Neurospora crassa OR74A: one gene and its partner. The protein of the gene in region 1 purifies or fractionates together with the protein of each later gene. This does not show direct contact. Links are inferred from orthologs where the notes say so. Each region holds a gene or a part of one and is shown on either strand. Other genes may lie near its edges.

The links. The genes of interacting proteins can lie anywhere in the genome.
Region 2: the proteins of NCU05608 (region 1) and NCU04281 purify together in Schizosaccharomyces pombe (affinity purification with western blotting; 3 studies listed by BioGRID, with this or other methods). This does not show direct contact. The link is inferred for Neurospora crassa OR74A from reciprocal best matches to the Schizosaccharomyces pombe genes tor2 and wat1.

What each region holds. Positions count from the first base shown.
Region 1 is NC_026506.1:1,348,270-1,352,504, forward strand, and holds the start of NCU05608 (phosphatidylinositol 3-kinase tor2), read right to left. Parts: upstream 2,801-4,235; 5' UTR 1,685-2,800; coding exon 1,549-1,684; intron 1,471-1,548; coding exon 142-1,470; intron 1-141. Other genes in the region: NCU05607 (DUF602 domain-containing protein), read left to right, coding at 3,303-4,235.
Region 2 is NC_026505.1:5,484,169-5,487,857, reverse strand, and holds NCU04281 (WD-repeat protein pop3), read left to right. Parts: upstream 1-1,334; 5' UTR 1,335-1,639; coding exon 1,640-1,661; intron 1,662-1,780; coding exon 1,781-2,298; intron 2,299-2,372; coding exon 2,373-2,789; 3' UTR 2,790-3,189; downstream 3,190-3,689. Other genes in the region: NCU04280 (aconitate hydratase), read left to right, coding at 3,650-3,689. UniProt on the Schizosaccharomyces pombe protein: component of both TORC1 and TORC2, which regulate multiple cellular processes to control cell growth in response to environmental signals. Nutrient limitation and environmental stress signals cause inactivation of TORC1.

The DNA.
Region 1 (4,235 bases):
GTCAGTTCTCGCTCCAATGGGGTATCAGTGTAGGCCGGCCAATGTCCCGACGACTGCCCTTCTTCGTAACTGGCAGCATCGGACCGAGATTGGAATTTCTTTGGCCAGTCCGGCTTCTTGGGGAACTGAAGAGTAACGTACCTGAAAAATCAAAACTGCCGAGGGTGTTCAAAGCCAATTTGACCTCGGCCTTTCCTCGCTCCTGCACTGATGGATCCTTGGGATCTTTTGGGATGGCCGGGATCGAAGTGAGTGTGTTGGGATGCGGTGCTCCTAGCGGTCGGAATGGTTCTCCACACAAAACCTTGCTGAGCATATCGAGCAACCGTTCCTGGATGGTAGCCTTGACTGGGGGAATGTAGAAGGCCATGTCAACCAAAGCCTGGGTTAGTTTCGGGGTGAGCTCGCAGGCGAAGATTGGATCCAGGAGCGCCTCCATATATTTGCTCAATGTCTGACCTACGGCCACGGCCAAACGGCTAATACAATCGAAGACGGGGTCGACCGAACCTCGCTTCCGTGACTGTATACTTAGGCCGTCTCGAACATATATGAGGACGTCATCGAGATAGGGAGCGATGGCGCTCTTGACTGAGTTGGCAACGTTACCAATAGCGAGAAAGGCATCGTTCCTTTCCTTTTCCTTCTTAAGCATATGAGAAAGATGAATCATAAACTTGTGCAGATATGTTGATGCAAAGTCGTTCGGTGCGTAGTTGGCCAAGTCCGGGATGAGGAGGACCACCGTCTTACGAATAGCCGGGTCCTTGGCGTCCTTGTGACGGAAGACGATATCGCATGCCTCGCCGTAGTGGGTTTGCATGTACATGCCACCCTGCTCTAGCAGCTCCTTGAGAACCAAGAGAGAAGCATGGACTGACTCGACAGTGTTTGTCTTGAGTCCCCTGACGGCTTCATGGAACATCTTGTCCATCCACTCCTGCTTCATGGCCTGATCACGTTCCCTAATAATCTTGAAGCAGGCACTGACTGTCTCGGCAGAAGTGGCTCGGATCAACAGTCGCTGATCTCGGAGGCCGATCCAGGACTGCTCAAAGACGAAGTTAACGTACGGGTACATGAGAGTGGGTGCGTTGCGTGCCAGCTCGCGTAGAATAAGGACGGCGGCATATCGCCTTTCTTCAACTCGCTCTGACTGGAGCCATTCCAGAGCCAGCTTGACCTCGGCATCAACAAGCTCTGAGATCAGAGAGCCGCCAGGTTTGCAAAGCTTTCCCAAGACGACCGCGGCGGGCTGCATTGGTGTTACGTCTTTGCTGCGGAGGATGTAGCCAATGTGCTGCTCGAAGCGACTGTACTTGAGGGCTAGGTCGATACCATCGAAGTCGACCAAAGCATCGAGGATGTAAACACCGCCCATCCGGTCACACGTGTCGGTCCCTTGTATAAGCGCCATGGTCCTTTGGTTGACTGTGTTGAAAAAGGCCGTAAACTGCTCCGCGCCCATTTCTATACAGCCTTGTATGTTAGCATGTGTTCCAATATCTGACAGGAATCTGAGGAGAAACTCGGAATTGGTGGACTTGCCTTGCTTCGCAACGTTTACCAAATCTCTGATCTGCCGAGCAGCGCGCTTCCGCGCGTCGTCGCTAGAGGTGCGATTCCTCACATCGCGAATGTATGTTTCCAGCGTTGCCGCTGCTTGCTCCTTTGTGAGCGACATCTTGGTGTTGTCCGACTATAACGTCTTGATCTCTTTTTCAGATGTCGGACAGCCTCGTCTGCAACTAGGCCTATCGTCGCTGGCCCATAGTAAGCGGGGCCAACGTGCTTCAAGAGCCGGTTGACCGGCCGAGGCGAAGGGCGCGTGTGTAACAGCTGCGCCTTCTTGTCGCAGTCGTCAAGAGTGTCGCGGGTCGTGGGCTGAGCGCAATCGCAAGGTCGGTTGCAGTGGTTGGTTTGAGGTTGATCGATGTGGGAGCAGGTGATGTTCGGGTCAAATGCGATTGAAATGGTTTGGATGGAACGGGCAAATGGGCGTGCGGTAGTGTCCAGCAACGTAACACGCTCGTGAGTCGTAATGACCGTCAGCAAGACGAAGTGAATAGGCCGAAGATAGAATGCAAATCCGTTATAACTTGTGACCACGCGCGCCTAAATCAAAAGTAAGGCGGGTGGTTCTGGGTATCGTAGAAGCTTGGAGCTATCACAGCCTTCAAGCTGAAGTGGAAAGTAGTTTAGACTAGTCGTTGAGAGAAGGTCGGGAATGGACCGATAGACCGCCGGCTGTCAAGGTACAGGGTGGAACTTGGGGAGACCCTGGTCCTTGACTGTTGGGTCGCCGTTGAAGTGGTTGGTGATGAGGGAAAACGAAACGGTCGGGTTGAAGTTTGAGAGTGGACGACAGCCAGCCCGAGAAGGAGGGGTTCCACGCTGCGTCACTGGATGAAGGACCACAATGGATATTGGGTCTTGGGAGGAGGAGGGAGAGGAGGGGGAGGGTCCGTGTGGATGCCCTGGCTGGATAGGTAGCCGGGGCCGGGGGACGGAAAGGTCTCGAGCCGCGGGATCGATGTTTGCGCGGGCGGGCGTTGGGTGTGCGTCCGCTACAGTAATCTGCTTCTCGAATGATGGATATAACGGAATTTCAGCTTTGTATCCCCAAATCATCAACAACAACGGCGATGAAACACGGCGGGCCGTACAATGTGCCAAGCAGCCGATGGTCGTTGGTTAATTTGTCGACGACGTTGTTCCCCGTCGCCGGCGGGGGCTCAGGGCAGTATACTACTATGTAGATGGAGAATTGGAAATACGGTGGAGCTACTAAACCTGGCGGGCATGGATCCTCTTGTCGCCCCTGCAGCCTCGTCTCATGAGGCTTCGGCTTCAAAGTCACCTGGAACACCTCAACGGCTTGCAACGGGAATTTCACACAACTGGAAGCCAGTGGAAGGCACGCATCTGCAAGCTCCAATTACAGGTTGCAGTGGACAACTGCTATTGGCACAGGGGCACGCTTTGACGCGCTTCATCCCGCTGCGGATGGAAGCCCGGTGCCCCCTGTCGTGAACTTTAAATTTACAGTGGAGGAACCAACCAACCTCAGCTCTTCCCGTCCCCTTCTTCCTTTCTTATCTTATCTCTGCCGCGACTTGCTCTGTCCATTCCGTCAACCTGCAGTGTACACAACGACGCCACTCCGTCTCCGGCCAACTCTCTTCATCGAATTGTACCTAAATACCTCTACTGTAATAATACTTGACGGACCATACACCCTCAACCAACTCCAAGACCACAGCAACAACCATCCCCTCAGCCCCCTACACACCATCACCACCATGGGTAATGACGGAGGCTCCATCCCCAAGCGACGCGAGCTCGTCAAAGAAGCAGCGCGCAACCCGACAATAAGCGAGCTTAAAGCCACCGCCTTCGAATCGCTCAACCACGCCTGGACCCACGATCCCATCTCTTCCGAGCCCATTGATCTCGAAACCGTCGTGTCTGACTGGCGCGGCCGTCTCTACAATTACGAATCCATCCTCAAGGGGCTGATGCCCGGTAGTAACGATGACTCCTCCGAGAACAAACAAGACACAACATCTCCCGCGCTTGTTAATACCAGCACCAATAGCAGTAGCGTGGGCAACGGTGAGTCGACGGCAACGCCAACAGCCATCTTCGCGACCGAGCTAAGCTTCGCCTCCACCGGCATCAAATCCCTTCGCGACGTGGTCAAGCTCAAGTTCAAGCGGTACACGCCGCCCGGGGGTGGCAACAAAAAAGAAAAGGAAATCTTTGCGTGTCCCGTTACGCTCAAAGAGCTGGGACCATCTACAAAATCCGTCTATCTGGTCCCTTGCGGCCACGTCTTTGCCGAGATGGCGATACAGATGATCACAGAGGAGGTGTGCCCAGAGTGCAGCGAACCATTCAAGTCAGAGGACGTTATTCCCATTCTGCCGACCGATAAGGCGGATATTCAACGGTTATCGAAGCGGATGGAGGATCTCAAGACGAAAGGCCTGACGCACAGTCTGAAAAAGGACAAGAGCGCCAGCAAGGAGAAGAAAAAGAACAAGCGCACGGCTGACGAGGCCAATGGTGACGCTGACAAGGAGAAGGAGACTAAGAAGGCCAAGAAGAGTGCTGGTGAGAGTATATCTAGCCGGGTGAGTGGCATCAACAACGCCGCCACGGCTGCGCTCACTGCTAGGGTATTAGCGGACCAGGATGAAGCCATGAAGCGACGTAAACTAGCAGCTGCTGGA
Region 2 (3,689 bases), on another chromosome or scaffold:
GCCTCACCGCAAGTCCGAAGGTTGAGTTCGGAACGGAAACCGAGCATGTGTGCTTCTCGAGATGCGGGCCAGCTTGGATTCATCCCAAGTTCGGACATGGGACGAAACCGACAGGTAGCACAGCCATGGCGGGCGACATGACGCAGGTCGCTGAGAGGAGTTGATCGGGCAAATAAAAGTCCAGTGCGGGAATGGTGCCCTGTGGAAGTTGGTTGTTCATGCTGATAACCGGAAGAATCCGAAAGCTTTGGCGGAATCGGGTACCCGTACCACACTCGGGCACCGAGAAAGGCTCCAACAGGTGGACGTCCGCTGCGAAGACGGGTTCTGAGACGCAAACAGCCGATCATGGAGTTTGAGATTGGTGGTGACTTGTGTAGAGTGTTCGTCAGGCCGGGGCTCGGTTGCGCAGGGAAAAGGCAAAAAAGGAACCTAGACAGGTCAGCCTCCACTCGTGCTCTCAGGTCTCATCGATGGCAATCAACCCACTCACTTACAAGAAGACTGTCCACGGACTAAGTAGGACTGTAAGGTGTCGGTGGTACAGAAGCAGGGCCCACTCGCGCTTAAAGTTGCAGGTCCCAGCAGATGTTGACCAACAGAAAGTGAATACTAACTGCCTCTAGTAGGTAGGTCACTGCACGGATATCGCCGGACGTACAGGGCACTCTATCACAGGCCAACCTGGGAGGCGGGGGACGGGAAACGGGAAGCAAGGGAAACAACACATCTGGTACTCGGATTTGCCGTAGACCTCACCAATGAGTGCGAGGTTGGGGGTGTCAAAGTAGCACATCCAAGACGGATATGGCATGGCTAATGACGGCATCAGATGGAATGAAGCGGGTGTCCTGGTACATGGTGTTTCGCGGCATCACAAGAGAGTCCGAGTGTGTGCGTGCTGGACGACGAGGGGAACAGAGGCCCTAAGAAGGAGGAGAATATGCTGACATTGAGATGGTGCTATCACTGGGTCATATAACAGGCGAGGAGGAAAATGGAAGTGGGTTATACGTGGATTCCAGATCTCGAGCAAAGGGAAGATGTTGATGTACATAAGTAGTAAATATTCATGTCTTGGTGAAGAAGTTAGTTGGTATTGAAGTTGTGCTTGATGGAAGGAAAGTTGAAGTTGGGAAACGGAATCGCTTGGGCTGTTGTTGCTGGTTGGTCGAGCATGTGTTAGTGAGTGCCGGTCCCGGCAGGCAGTTGCATCCACATCCAGTTCAAACCCACTTGACTCCGGCGGGCCCCACCGTTTGTCCCCTCCACTGTGGGGCAACCTTAAGTCCACTCCACTTCATAGGTCCCGTCCGTAGGTCTCTTCGTTGTGTTGCCTGCCCCGCCGACCTGTCTTGTCCATCCATGCCTGCAGCGCTGCTATCCGCTGCTAGGTATCAATCGGTGCGGTCCAGTGCCGTCCCGCGATCATCAGGGCCTCAGCTCCCGGCGTTGTTGACATCAGTTTCAATTCGGGCCATTTCGATATAACTTGTTCTACCGTGATCCACGTCTCTTCTTCCCATATCGACGCGTTCGTTGTCTGTCACCGACTGCCCAAGTACCGGTAGACCTGAAGAGTGTCTGTGGACTATGGAATCATAGCCTCTGTATCCCCGTCGCAGTCGCTACCTCTACCATGTCGGTTATCCTTTGCACAGGTATGGCTTGTCTTGTCCCGGTCTACCTTGCCGACGCAGTAATGCCCCATCCCCTTGATCCAGTTCCTCCCTTGTGCCGAATTGGAACAGCTGCTGACTCTTCGCTTTGCCCTTTACAGCTGGTTACGACCACACCATCAGGTTCTGGGAGGCGCTCTCCGGAATCTGCTCGCGCACCATCCAACACCCCGAGTCTCAAGTGAACCGTCTTTGCATATCCCCTGACAAGCGATACCTCGCCGCTGCCGGCCACCGCGATGTCAAACTCTTTGACATTCGTTCCACAAACCCGCAGGCCCTCATGACCTTCCAGGGCCACACCGGCAATGTGACCGGCGTGGCCTTCCACTGCGAGGGCAAGTGGATGGTAACAAGTTCGGAGGACGGAACGGTCAAGATTTGGGAAACCCGCACCGGAACCATCCAGCGAAGCTACAACCACGGCTCTCCGGCAAACGACGTTGTCATCCACCCTAATCAGGGAGAGATCATCAGCTGCGACCGCGCCGGAAGCATCCGACTGTGGGATCTGGCCGAGAACACTTGCTCGCACCAGCTAATCCCCGAGGAGGATGTTTCAGTGACAAGTGTCACGGTTGCCAGTGACGGTACACTTCTTTGTGCGGCCAACACTGCTGTAAGTTTTCTCTCCACCGAGTCATTCCTTGCTGTATCTTCCCGATATACTGACACCTCCTTTCTGTCTGCCAGGGCAATGTATTCGTTTGGCAACTCATCCAGGCCTATGACCGCACCCAGCTGATTCCCCTCACCCACTTTTCCGCACACAAGGAAAGCATCACGCGCATCCTACTCTCGCCCGATGTCAAGAAGCTCGCAACGTGTAGCGCCGACCATACGGCCAGGATCTGGGAAGTCAGGGAAATGGAACCTGCCACGGCCGATTCGGAACCGCAGGCGTTCCCCCTCGAGGCCACTCTCAAGGAGCACCAGCGTTGGGTATGGGACTGTGCCTTCAGCGCTGACAGTGCCTACTTGGTAACTGCCTGCAGTGATCATTATGCGCGGCTGTGGGAATTACACACGCAGCTTGTTATCAGACAGTACAACGGCCATCACCGCGGTATTGTATGCGTCGCTCTCAACGATTATTCCGAAGCTCGCTAGTGGGAACTTTTGGATGAAGATGAGGAGACGGCGACAATTTGCAACACGGCTGAAGTGTAGGGCGGCTGCGGAAAGATGTCAATTTTTACGTCTCTATGATGGGCTGTCGATGTAAGAGGAAACGAAGCTGCAAAGTGCAGTGTCATGGCAGGGGCATTTCATATGTGCTATTTTCCCCGGATATCCTTTTTGAGAGCGACTGGCGGGTTGTTTAGTAGAATCGGCTATGGCAATGGCGTTTTATGGTTATGCAAGTAATGTTTTTAGAGTGGAAAATCACACAACGACATGAATTCCCAAGTACGCCCGCCACGCCGTTTCATAACACTTGATACCTGGTAGCAAAAAGTATTGCTATATAACAGTAGACCACATTTCCGTCGGATATAAGAACAATTCAAGATGAAAGCTCGGCCGAAGTCCGTGACTGAGAGAATCGATTAGGAACATACGAGTCATGATTGGCTTGAATAGTCGAAAAGTGGATCAGCTGTGTGTTACGCCCCGGCTTGGCAGATTCAAAGTCAACACTGGTTCAAGGGTACTGCCGGCCTGGAGGGTTTTACTAGTGATCTGGAACTTTTGAGGACTTGCCTGGGCATCTCAGAATTCAGAATTGAAATCAAAGACAAAGCATTCACTTAAAATAGCTGGATGTTATTGGACAAAAAGACAGTTAGCGTACTTCCAGTGTATGTAGTGTACCGCAATCCCCGGATTTGCTGCTTGGGTGGCGGCGGCACTCACAAGTGGAATGGCTCCGTAATTCGGACCAAAGTGAAGATAGTGTAACCGGCAACTTTTCTCTCCTCTTTTCTTTCTCCAAACAACCAAGTTCCCCTTCTGTACAGTCTGTCACCATGAGGTCAATTGATCTCGCCAGTCGCTCAGGCGCTGCCC